Cricetulus griseus: one gene and its partners. The protein of the gene in region 3 interacts with the protein of the main gene of each other region in a pairwise test. Links are inferred from orthologs where the notes say so. Each region holds a gene or a part of one and is shown on either strand. Other genes may lie near its edges.

Region 1 (4,046 bases), on a different chromosome or scaffold from region 3:
TTATTATTACTTATATATTTATTGTTATTTCATGTGCACATGGCCAGCATGGCAGCCAGCGTCTTCACACACTGAGCCATCTTGCAGCCATCTTAGTTGTCTCTTTAACTGATATATTGAGAATGGGTACCCAACCCTAGCTAGTTTTTTGGGACTGTCAGCGTTATGTTTTTTGAAGAAAAAGAGGAAAAGAGGCGGATGATGACATGTTAACTAGTTTATTATACGGCCCGGCAGAGTATGGAGACTAAAGAGAGAAGAGAAACAGGGGTAATGGCTGCCCACCATGGCCGGTCACCATAGAGAGGCAGAGAGAGTGTGTAGGTGGGGGAAGAGAGAGCAAAGCAGAAGTGAGCAAAGAGAGAGAGTAAAAGAGAGTAAAGAGGTTGAGCAGCAGGGAAGTTGGGGAAGACTGAGGTTCCACGCATGCCCAGAGTCCTCAGCAGGCCTAATGCGTGTCGGGTGACATGGTGATGATAACAGCACATTTTCCTCTGTGTGCCCTGACTGTTGTCAGGGGGTAGGGTCTGTCCTTAAAGAGATATTGCCGATCAGTATGAAAGTCTGAACCTTTCAGTCAGGGCGCAATCTTGGTAATAGAGTGATGGTTTAAAACCAGGAGGATTTCTGTTGTTGTTATTTGCTTTTTGTTTTTTGAGACAGAGTTTCTCAAGGCTGGCCTTGAACTCACAGAAACCTGCCTACCTCTGCCTCTCAAATTCTGGGATTAAAGGTTATGTGTCACTACACTGGTCTATTAAAAATGATATGCTAATAGAGTCATGAAAACTATTTTAAAACTTCTGTGATCCTAATGCTCTAAAAAACATTTTATACATCATCTTCCAAATATATTAACACAAATAGTACCATCTACAAAATTTTAGATGGTGTTTGGTTTGGTTTGTATACCCTGTAGTCCAGGCTGGAATGAAACTCACTGTGTAGCTGTGACTGGCCTCTAATTCTCCGCTTCAGCCTCCTGATTGCTGGATTTCTGGTGTGAGTTACCATCCTTGACTCTCAAATGTTTCTAACTCTGAAAGAAGTCTGTCTGTAATTTTAAAAATTATTTTAATTATTAATAGCATCTGTTTTCATAATCATAATGATTCCCCCCTCCAAAATGCAGGATGCAGGAAGGAGGGACATAGTGGAGGCTTGGGGAACCCCAGCTGCACCAAACCAGACTGCAGACGGCTGGGCACCCGGAACTCACCAGCCTCGGAACTCGCAGACACCGAAGTGTCGACATCGGAGAGCAGATGAGGGGACGCCACAAGCGGACAGAGCCGGAAGTGGGTTCACTAGTGGCCACCGGGAGAGCCCGGCCGGAGCGAGAGCCGCGGCGGCACAGCGGGTGAGCGGTGGGCTGCTGGCTGCGCGAGGAAGCGGAAGACGCTGGCTTTCCTCGGGCATTTCCGGAATAAAAGCGGAGCGCAGACCCGGGCGGGGGGTGCGGGGGAGGGTCCCTGCCTGGCGCCGCTTTGTGGCCGCGCCGCCCCGCCTTCGCGGTGGGGCTCCTGGGCGCTGGTGGACCGGCGCTCAGTGGGCGACTGTGGCTTCTCCACCGAGCTCCCCGCGGCCCCGAGGTGAGGTGTTTGCCCCGACTCACGGGTAGGGAAACAGGCTGCCCGCAGAGGCCCGCACTCCGCGTTCTCAGCCGAGGGTTCCACTCGCTTGCCTCCCGTAGCTTGCTCCTTCTGGAGACCGCGGCCGTCTTGGAGAAAACTTGGGTGAACCCGTGAACTAGAATCGAGGGCCAGCAACTTATGCCTGGGTGAAAGGGAAGACGGTGATCTCTCTTAACCTGTTTGTCACTCACGCCTTTGAGAACAGGACGTGAGAAGCCTGAACAGTCAACGTTTGATAGCTGGAGAGGGGGGGGGAAAAAGTTTGCCAAGGTTCCTTGTCACTAGTCTGAATTTTTATAAACTGCAATTTACCCTGGCTTTTAAAACTTCAGCTAGTGAGATGGCTCAGCGCTCTTGCCACTGAGCTTGACAGCCCGGTTTCAATCCCTGGAACCCACGTGGTGAAAAAAAAAAAAAAAAAAAAAAGCTGAATCCCACAAGTTGTCCTCTGACCTCTACTTGTGACCTGCAGCATGTGTGCACCCATGCATGTACACACACATAAAATAAATGTTTTTTTGAAATTTTAAATTTAACTCCTATTTTATACAGATGTTGGCAGATAGAGCTGTGCCATACTCGATACAGAGAAGGGGCTTAAGAGGTAGGCGTGTTTTCCTGGGTCTGTAGATGCTTAAGAATCACTGGAGACTCTGGATGCTTTGCTGACCCCTTTCAGGCCTCCTCTTCAAGTTAAATCTACTACTTCATAAGACACGCAAAAGGAAATGCCCAGATTGACAATGTCTCCCAAAGGACACAGTGATGGTGGCATTTGCCAGTGAGATTTAGCAAGTTATAAACAGACTGTCTTGCTATTCTCTCTTACAGTCAACACCTAAATAGCATTTGCTTACCTAACTTCAGAAGAGGGCAAACTGTAGTCTCAGAGCCTTGGCAAACAAGATCAAACTTGGTGTATCATGTAGGTTTATGTTACAGAGTCTACTTTATATATTTACATGATCCTGTAGAAAAATCTTAGTTTCAGGTTGACCGAGAGAGTCTGTCTCAAAAATTAGGTGGAGAGCAAGAAAAGAAACCCCTGACCTCTGCCTGCAAGGGCAGCATACCTGCAAACATAAAAAACGTTTCTTTTTTTCTGTTTACTTATACCTGCTCATATGTTTTGCTCACAATTTCGGACAAGTGGACTGTTTTCTTATTTTTAGGAACTTTTAAGGAAAATTAGAATTTTGCTGGAGAGATGGTTGTTTCTACTAGATTAGCCAGGCAGTGAGCACGGTGATCAGCCTGTCCGCACTTTCCAAGCGCTGGAATTCTAAACCCATACCACCAGGTCTAGCTTTTATATGGGTTCTAGGGATCAAAGTTGTATCCAAATGCCTGCACAGCAAGCACTTTACTCACCAAGCCATCTCAAGTTATGGAGTACATGTCTTACATCATTTTTTTCTCTAGTTGTCTGAAAAAAAAAATCTTTGGGGTTTTAAATGCATACAAGTCTGTGTTTATAAATAATGCTGGAGGACATGGTGGTGGCCCAGGCCTATAACCCTGGCACTTTGGGAGACTGAGTCAGGAGGATTGCCACTCAAGGCCAACCTGGAATACAAAGTGAAACTATCTCAAAATAATAATGCTGACTAGGTGATGGTGGCGCACTCAGGAGGCAGAGGCAGGTGGATCTATAAGTTCGAGGCCAGCCTGGTCTACAGAGTGAGCTCCAGGAAAGGCTCCAAAGCTACAGAGAAACCCTCTCTTGAAAAACCAACAGCAACAACAATAATAATAATGCTGAATGTCTGTTGATCAAAAAAGAAAGGGAAACTAGAAGTATGATTCATGGTAGGGTACTTGCCTAACATGCATGAAACCCTGGGCTTAACCCTCAGCACAACAGAGAAAAGGACAGGCTGGAGAGATGACTTAGCTGTTGGCAGAGGAGCCATGTGGTAGCTGACAACCATCTGTAACTCCAATCCCAGGGAATCAGCAGCCTCTCTGGCCTCCACAGACCCTGCAACGCGTATGACACACAAACACACATACAGGCACAACATCCCATGCACATAACAAAAGCAATTTTTAAAGAAGGAATCTGTATCTCACACACACACACACACACACACCATTTTATTTTGGTTGGTTTGGTTAGTGTGGTTTTCATTTGGTAGGGTTTTTGTGTTTATTGTCATCTTTTTTCCTGCTCTGACAGCAGGTTTCAAGTGATACATCCTGCCCAGAAAGCTACAGCAAGGGCCAGCAATGGTCCAGATGTGAAGTTTGCATGTCCTTTTGCAAGGAATCACTGGCCATAGTACAGTGTAATGTGGGTTAGTTAAGACAGATGCCTGGCCAAGGGCTATGTATATGAGAAGAAGGCTTGACTCAGGTAAGACAGAGTTAGAAGAGCTCTGAGGCTGAGTACAGCTCTATGCAAGAGTCTGG
Region 2 (4,233 bases), on a different chromosome or scaffold from region 3:
AGGGTGGCGCTCTTGAGTTGTAAGAAAATTACCCCTTCCTTCTTAGTTGGGGTGGAAAATTCCCCCTGTTTAAACCATCTTTAGATGGTTTTTAGGGACCACAAAGAAGGCAAGAGTTGAGCTTAATTCATGGTGTTGATGTTGCTTCTATTTGCAAGCCATTTTACCCATGGGGGTGTTAATTTTTTTTTAAAGATTTGTACTTAAGATGAGCTTTAGATTCTCTACAAATTATCCTTATTTCAAAATGGCTTGATAAAACACAACTTCCTGTCCAGGGAGGAAGTTATTTTAGCTCAAGGACTGAAATATTTAGCAGATCTTTAAACAAAAGGAACAAATTACATTTCTCTCTGGCTTAAAAAGGGTGCTTGAGCCAGAGGGGGTTAAGAAGCCCTTCCCCCTCCCCCTTATGGAGTGGTCTGGAGGGGCAGGGAGGTGTGGGGTTGGGGGTCTTAAGGCTCCCTTGGATGGAGGATCTAGTTTTTTCTTTCTTTTTTTTTTTGGTGGAGATGAAGGGGTGGGTCTATGGTACATCACCTGAGTTGTGGGGTAAATGTAGAGAGTGTCAATCAAAGGCAGAGCTCTCAGAGCTGGGAAGGAGGCTCTAGATGGCGGCTGTGCCTTAGAGAGAGCGCGCTTTGCTCCCTGCTTCGGTTCACTTTACGCAACTTTCCCTAACTTTCGGGCAGCCTCAGGGGGCCCCCGCAGCCCCCTGCCTCTTCTAGTGACTTACTGGGGTCGATTCGAATCTTTTTTTGGAAGAAAAGCAGCTTTTAGGAGCTTTTTTTTCGTGCCTTGTTGGAAGAAGCTGCCGTATTGAGAGCCCAGGTCGTTGTTTTTTCCAGCTTAGAAGCCATGGCGCACCTCCATTTTTGTGCGCTCTCCTAATGAGGCTTTTTTTTTCCCCTTCCGGACCTGTTTTAGTATTAATTATTGCTTTATTTTTTGACAAGCCAACACATTTGAGGACTATTTCATTTACTTTTTGTTTTTTAACGGAGGATTTTTCGTTATTTTTAATTATTTTGGATCTGGCATTTTTCTACTACTAGATAGGACTCTTGCTTTGGACATACTGCATGGATCAGGTAAGTCCATAATAATTAGTGATAATTTGAAAGATTTTTATGTTGAAGTTGGCTTTATTTATTGTAAATATGAGAAATTCCTGGATGACGCAATAAGATACAGAGATTGTTATTTGTATCCAGTGTGTTACTTTGAGAAACTTTCCTTATTGATAGTGATGCTTCTACAGTTCAGCTTATCCCCCACTTATTTTAAAAAGAAAAAATAGAAATATTTTTGTTTTTTTGGTGCTTACCGTTGTTGCATTACATGAATATCGCTAACATCGTCAGGACTTTGTTCCTGATAGTAAGAACCATCCATAGAAGCTGGGACCTTACCTTTCTTTCAACTTTTGACAGTAAATACCTGGGCACAGGACTTCAAAGCAAACACAGATTCCCCCTCCCCCTTATATTTAAGAATTAAAAGATGATGAGAAATAAGGACAAAAGCCAAGAGGAGGACAGTTCGCTACACAGCAATGCATCGAGGTATGAGCTATCAACTTACTTTTTTTTTTTTTTTTTTTGGGGAAACCTCAGCTTACACTTGTTTACTTTGACAGACATAGATTGCTGTCTGTGTTGAAAGAATTTTCTAACTTGGGTTGATTTTTTTTTAAAGCGTGACCTTGAGATTGCTAACATGCCACACCCTGATTTTTTGGTAGCTATTTATGAAAGTTGAGTTGTGACTTAAGGCCTCTTAAAGCATTCTGAAGGTAAGGTACTTTTGTACGGAGGGGCCTTTCCTAGAAACTGTAGTTTTTCTGTCAGTAAATTTTTAGGTTTTAGGTTTTCATGCTGCAGAAAAATGACCTTGTCTGTTTAGCCATTGCTGCATTGCACCATTTTACATACAAGGCAAATTTTTTTCTTTGAATAATCTGGGATATTCAAACTTGTAACTGAGGGCCATAGAGGAGCCTTGTGGTAGTAAATTATAGTAAATAGACATTTGAGAAAGTTATATGAATGAGAAAATGTACATTTAAAAACAGAATCACAAATGGGACCCTTTGACTGATGCCTTTCATTTTATATTTTTGATTGTTTCTTTTGATACACTTCACAAATTTGAAAATTTTTATGACTTAACAAAACCTTACTTAAAGTTCCTGAAATCATTAAATCTGTCACCGCAAAAATCCTGGAATGCTATTAACACTTGCTTTGTGATTATTACTATGACAATATAATTTCAGATTTTGTTTAAAATGTTACAAGGTTTATGCTTGTGTATTTATGTTAAGACAGTGCTTTCTGGTTGGTAATTGTATTTTATCTTTACATTTTAGTTGATGCTGCTTTAAATTTATCCATTTATTTTGACAGAGTCATCTGGAATGCTTTCTCTTCTGAAGCTTTAATGTACTGTTTGTTCAAATAATGATTTGTTTCACATTCCTTGAAGTAGTTTATCAGTGACTGAAGTAATAAAGCCTATAAGATATTTTGGTTGTATGACTGTATCTTTATCTTTATTTAAAAAATGTGCATGCATTTCTGAATCTGTTAAGAATTGTCATGTCATAATTTTTAAATCATGCAGCTAACAAGGATGTGATTGGTTATGTGATCTTTTCCCAATTTTGATTTTATTTTATAACTTTGCATAAAATTCTTTTTCTAAATTAAGCTTGTAAATTTTGAGTATGCTTTATTACAAATGATGAATTTTGCTTTTGACTAAAAATAGTTTTGAATCTTTTAAAAGCACATTTTCGAGTTCCTTTGCAAATTGAGTTGTTACAATTTTGGATCTTTTGAGTTGCCTGTGTAATTATTGAGTTATATGTAGAACAAAAAACACTTGTAATGCAAAACTAGCTTTCTGGAAAGTAATAATTTGAAGGTATAGGAAGCTCCAGATATATTTGACAATTATGAAAGACCCAGTATTAAAGTTGTTACTCCCTTGAGTATATGATTTGCATATTCTCACCAGGGTTTTGGCTTTCTTAAGCAGGTTTCTGGTTTCATTGATCAGACGATGCTCTCTAACTCATCTCAAAGTGCTGCCTTTGAATAAACTTTTACTTTTATCTGGGATATGACTGCGGCATTGTCATGCATTTGATTTCTTTTGTCAATAAGAAGCATGTTTTTAATGCTTTTGCCAATTATACTTTAAAATCATATACTTGATGGATGTTCAAATATTCTAGAATCCTGAAAGAGGGAGTTACTTTTAAATTACTGTTACTTTTAAGTTATATACATTATTAATGCATGTACATAGTTATGACATCACTTCCTTTAAAGATTGTAAAGCTTAAAGAATGTTTGTGTTGTTTTGGTACAGTAGGCTATTTCTGGTGAACTGAAATTGAATTGCCTCTGTTTACCTGGTTCCTGTGATATCAGTAGGTTGCCTAAAGGGAGGCTAAAGTTTTGAAGTACAGTGTTCAGGGAACATCACTGAAATCACCTTTTGCACCCTGATTCTGCAGGGGAGGAAAGGAATTGCCTTCAGGTTAAGTAAACTTCAGAATGAGAATCACTTGAGAACAAGTTTTAAGTAAAGTTTTTCCCCCTGTTTTGAAAACAAGTGCTATAACTTACTACTGATTAAGTGTATTCTTGTATTCTTTTGTAGTTAATGCTGAATTCTAATTTGCTTTGTATATCATGATTTTTGGAGATTAAAAATTACTTTTTCGAATGTAATTTTAAACAATTTACATTTCTAATTTCTAAACACAACGGTTTTAGTGATGGACACAAAGTATGCCACATACTTACCTAAGTTATATCCACGAGTGTTAACTAGGGGGGAAGAAAATGCACATGGAACCGTGTGAACACACTTCTGTGTTCTAAGACACGGCATTTATAAACTCAAAATTAAATCTATATCCAAAGTCGTTTGCCTTTGAGCCATATTTTGATATCCGGAGGTGTGAGTACAATTTTCACGTTTTCAGGAGCCCTTAGCCTTGTAAGGCTGGGGATGATTAGAAACGGCATTTGCAGTGCTTGTGGACTGGAATAAGCAGTTTTAAGTGGCAGCCATTTTATGACGCTGATAATACTTTTAAAAATCGGATTTTTAAGAAGGCTGAAAAATGAATCGAAGTCCTGAATATCAGAATATCCCTTTCCCCACGTTCCCATTGGTACTCTGGTGATGAATTAAGGGGCAGCTCGGTAGCTGGCG
Region 3 (4,174 bases):
CGAGACACTCCTTCCTTTTACACTGGAATTCAACGAATACAAATCTCAAAAACATTAAGGACTGCAAATCATTGAAAGTGTGCACGGCCATTAAGAAGTAGTAAAATTTGAATGACTCCATAGCAAGGGGGAAATATATATATATATATATATATATATATATATTTATTTATTTATTTTTAAAGAGAACATATGGACTTGTTTCAAAACTCAAAGGATATAAAAAGAACTACATGTTAGGAAAAGCGTCTTTCCTACCCGGTCATCTTTCCTAGAGAAATTCTGTCTTCCTCCACAGACGCGGATATGGTAGAGTAGCTAGCTAACCCTGAGCAGTCGGACCAGGTGCTAGGAAACCCTCTGATCGCTTTACGTGACATCCTCACAAAACCCCGAGGCGACGACCTATGGTCTACTTTAAAGGAGTAGTCACAGCCATACAAAGCACCAAATACACTTAACCTTGTATACTCCAGAGTGTCCAGCAATCTGCGCTTTTTAAGCATAACACATCCGGGAAGACTCTTGTTCACATATCTGGACAGTGTTCCATTTAATGTGAATGTAGCTATTAATAATAAATGATAGGCCAGTGGCCAGATGACAGTGTTTTTTTGTTTGTTTGTTTGTTTGCTTGCTCTGGTTGGTTGGTGGTTACTTCCTGGGACAGGGTCTGACTTTGTAGCCCAGATTAGACAAGGCTGTAACTTGCCGCGGTCCTCCTGCCTCTCCCTCCCAAGTGTGGGAGGCATACAGGAGTGCCCGCAAGATTGCAGCTGCTGAAACGGGCGTGGGAATGCCCCGCAGAGGGTGGCGCCTCCCGAACTCCAGTCCCAGCTATCTCGTCAGACTCCGCCCACGACCCCCACTTGCAGGGATCTATCGAGTCTCCAGCAAGTTCTAGGGCTACAGGGGCCGGAAGTGTTTGAGGACGCTGAGCGGGCCCGCCCCTCAGCTTCCGGCACTGCTATTGGGAGTGCCTTCTGCAGGCGTCCGTGCCTGGTCGGTAGGATGGCGCTAGGCCGCTGCGGTTGTAGCACGGAGAGCAGGGTGCTGCTCCACGTCCTCGCTGCCCTCCGCCATCTGTCCCCGCTGGCGGGGCATGGGGGCTTCTTCCGCTTTGTACGCGTTCCCCGCCGCCAGTCATCACAGAGATGCGGACCTCCGCCGTCCTAGCCCTCCCGCCCTGTTCCCGCGTGTCCGCTAGAGCGTCTCCTCCTCGTTTCCGGTTGCCCTGGAGTCCGGGGCGGGGCGTGGGAGAAGGGGGGCGTAGCACAACCTCGGAGGGAACTCGTGAGTTTAGGTCGTGTGGAGACGCCGGAAGCGTCGGGAGGGAGGCCGGAAGCTGGGGGGCGGGGCCAGGAAGTGAGGAGGGGCGGGGGTTTATGAGGAGGCCGGGGGAGCGTTGGGGCAGATTTGCACTCAGGTCCACCTGAGATACTTGTCGGTGGTGCTCACCTCAGTCCCCTCCCCTCTCTGAGACGCGATTGTCGTCTAGGGGTAGGGGACTGTGTGTGCAGCGGTGGGCTGGTCGGGAGGACATTCCTCCGGCCTCGCCGCAGGCAAGGTGTGGGGAAGCAGGGCTTGGGGTGGGGACGGGTCTCCTGGGCTTCTGAGAAGGAAGACCCCCCCGCCCCCCCTCGGCCCCCACCACACTTCTACACTGGCTGACTGGACACTAAGATGGCTGCCGTTGCCATGACACCCAACCCTGTGCAGACCCTTCAGGAGGAGGCGGTGTGCGCCATCTGCCTCGATTACTTCACGGACCCCGTGTCCATCGGCTGCGGGCACAACTTCTGCCGAGTGTGTGTAACCCAGTTGTGGGGCGGGGAGGATGAGGAGGACAGGGATGAGTTGGATCGGGAGGAGGAGGAGGAGGTCGGAGAGGAGGAAGAAGTGGAGGCTGTCGGAGCAGGCGGGGGTTGGGACACCCCCATGCGGGATGAAGATTATGAGGGTGACATGGAGGAGGAGGCCGAGGAGGAAGAGGAGGGTGTGTTCTGGAGTAGTGGTATAGGCGGGTCCAACTGGGACAACATGGACTATGTGTGGGAGGAAGAGGAGGAGGAGGAAGATCTGGACTATTACTTGGGAGATGTGGAGGACCTGAGGGGGGAAGATGAGGACGAGGAGGAGGAAGTGCTGGAGGAAGATGAGGAAGAGGAGCTAGATCCGATCACCCAACTGCCGCCACCTCCAGCCCCTCGGAGGTGCTTCACTTGTCCCCAGTGCCGAAAAAGTTTTCCTCGGCGGAGCTTCCGCCCCAACCTGCAGTTGGCCAACATGGTCCAGGTGATTCGTCAGATGCATCCAACCCCTGGTCGAGGGAGTCGTGTGAATGAACAAGGCATCTGTCCGAGACACCAAGAAGCCCTGAAATTGTTCTGTGAGGTGGATGAAGAAGCCATCTGTGTGGTGTGCCGAGAATCCAGGAGCCACAAACAGCATAGTGTGGTGCCATTGGAAGAGGTGGTGCAGGAGTACAAGGTGAGTGAACTAAGCAAGGCAAGAGTTTAGTAAGGGTAGGGAGGAAATAGAGGACATCGGGCAAAGGGAATGTGGGTTCTCTTACAGGACCTCATGTCCTGCAGAAATGATTCTCCCTGTCCAAGCACTGACTTCCAAGGTCGATAAATTACAAGGATCCTGAGACTTCCTCTGTGGCTTAAGGATAGGAGTGCAAGTGACAGAGAGTGCATTCATCCTTCTGGATGGATCTTAAGTCTTATCCATGACAGAGTCACTTCCAGATGGAAAGAAATGGGACCAAAAAGAACAAGGGAGTCTGAAACAGGAGCATAGAAATAACTAGTGTCAGACCCAAATACTCTGCACTTGTTTCCTAACGGGTTCCACACCCATCCTATGATACAGATTTGCTGGTTGGCTCAGCACCCAGTCTCATGTATTAACCAGAAAGGAGGGTTTTAGGGTAAAAATCTTGTGTCTTTAAACTTTTTTTTTGTTTTTGTTATTTTTTTGAGACAGGATTTCTCTGTGTAGCTTTGGAGCCTATCCTGGCACTCACTCAGTAGTAGACCAGGCTGGCCTTGAACTCACAGGAATCTGCCTGCCTGTGCCTCTGGAGTGCTGGGATTAAAGGTGTGCCTACCCGGCTTCACTTTGAACTTTAATTATTACAGGAGTTAATATTTATAGGGCACTTCACATATAGTCAGTACTGTGCAGGTCACTTTTTGTGGATTATCATTCATAATTCAAAGTCACCATGTGAGTTTGATGTTTGCCATTCTCATTTTATTGATTGGGAAACAGGGTTAAATTCTGAACATGGATGTTTATGTATATACAGCTTTAATAAGTGATAGACTTGGATATGAACATCTTCCTCTTGGGGCTCCTAGGTAACACTACTTGGATATTTTAGTTTGACTTTTTTTTTTTTTTTTTTCTCGAGACAGGGTTTCTCTGTGTAGCTTTGGAGCCTCTCCTGGAACTCACTCAGTAGACCAGGCTGGCCTTGAACTCACAGAGATCTGCCTGCCTCTGCCTCTGCTTCCCAAGTGCTGGGATTAAAGGCATCCGCCACCAACGCCTGGCCTAGTTTGACTTTTCTGATGTGACTGTTCTAGGAATCTAATTCTTGTTTGGTTAACTGGCTTGTTCTTTATTTCTCTAATTCTTTGGACATATGTAAAGGACATGTGTCTGTGAAGCAGCCAGCACAGATAGAACTATCTTCAGATTTGAAGCCATAGAATCAGGAGGAGAGGGTAGCCTCCTCTGTATGGCTGCCCAGAGCTTTGTTTGTGACTAATGTTTCTATGCCTCCTCCTAATTCAGTCAGTAACTTCATTTAGGTGATCATCACCTCCTCAACTTTAGAGTCTAAGGCTTCACAGCTGATTGTCAGTTATTTGAGGAGATGTCAAAAGTACAGTGGGCCTTACTGCAGAAGTTCTGAATTAGAGTATCTATAGAATAGTCATCCTAAAATGGGCATGATAGTGCAAGCTTTTTATCCCAACACTTGGGGAAATAGAGGCAGGAAGAACAGTTCAAGGTCATCCTTGATGTAGCAAGATAGAGGCTAGCTCAAGATACATGAGACCTGAGGGCAAGAAACCCTTTTTGTTTCTTGTTTGTTTGTTTGTTTGTTTGTTTTTTCCTGGACAGGGTTTCTCTGTGTAATAGACCTGGATATCCTGGA

Evidence for each region. The genes of interacting proteins can lie anywhere in the genome.
Region 1: the proteins of Trim41 (region 3) and Top3b interact in binary tests that used the Homo sapiens proteins (3 or more experiments, as listed by UniProt). The two-hybrid records come from large-scale screens. The link is inferred for Cricetulus griseus from reciprocal best matches to the Homo sapiens genes TRIM41 and TOP3B.
Region 2: the proteins of Trim41 (region 3) and Chd2 interact in binary tests that used the Homo sapiens proteins (3 or more experiments, as listed by UniProt). The two-hybrid records come from large-scale screens. The link is inferred for Cricetulus griseus from reciprocal best matches to the Homo sapiens genes TRIM41 and CHD2.

The regions. Positions count from the first base shown.
Region 1 is NC_048597.1:72,462,187-72,466,232, reverse strand, and holds the start of Top3b (DNA topoisomerase 3-beta-1), read left to right. Parts: upstream 1-1,246; 5' UTR 1,247-1,360; intron 1,361-1,432; exon of another isoform or gene 1,433-1,592; intron 1,593-4,046. UniProt on the Homo sapiens protein: Releases the supercoiling and torsional tension of DNA introduced during the DNA replication and transcription by transiently cleaving and rejoining one strand of the DNA duplex.
Region 2 is NC_048596.1:123,752,345-123,756,577, forward strand, and holds the start of Chd2 (chromodomain-helicase-DNA-binding protein 2), read left to right. Parts: upstream 1-1,433; 5' UTR 1,434-1,503; coding exon of another isoform or gene 1,504-1,565; intron 1,566-2,408; 5' UTR 2,409-4,233. UniProt on the Homo sapiens protein: ATP-dependent chromatin-remodeling factor that specifically binds to the promoter of target genes, leading to chromatin remodeling, possibly by promoting deposition of histone H3.3.
Region 3 is NC_048600.1:63,472,683-63,476,856, reverse strand, and holds the start of Trim41 (E3 ubiquitin-protein ligase TRIM41), read left to right. Parts: upstream 1-1,374; 5' UTR 1,375-1,683; coding exon 1,684-2,490; intron 2,491-4,174.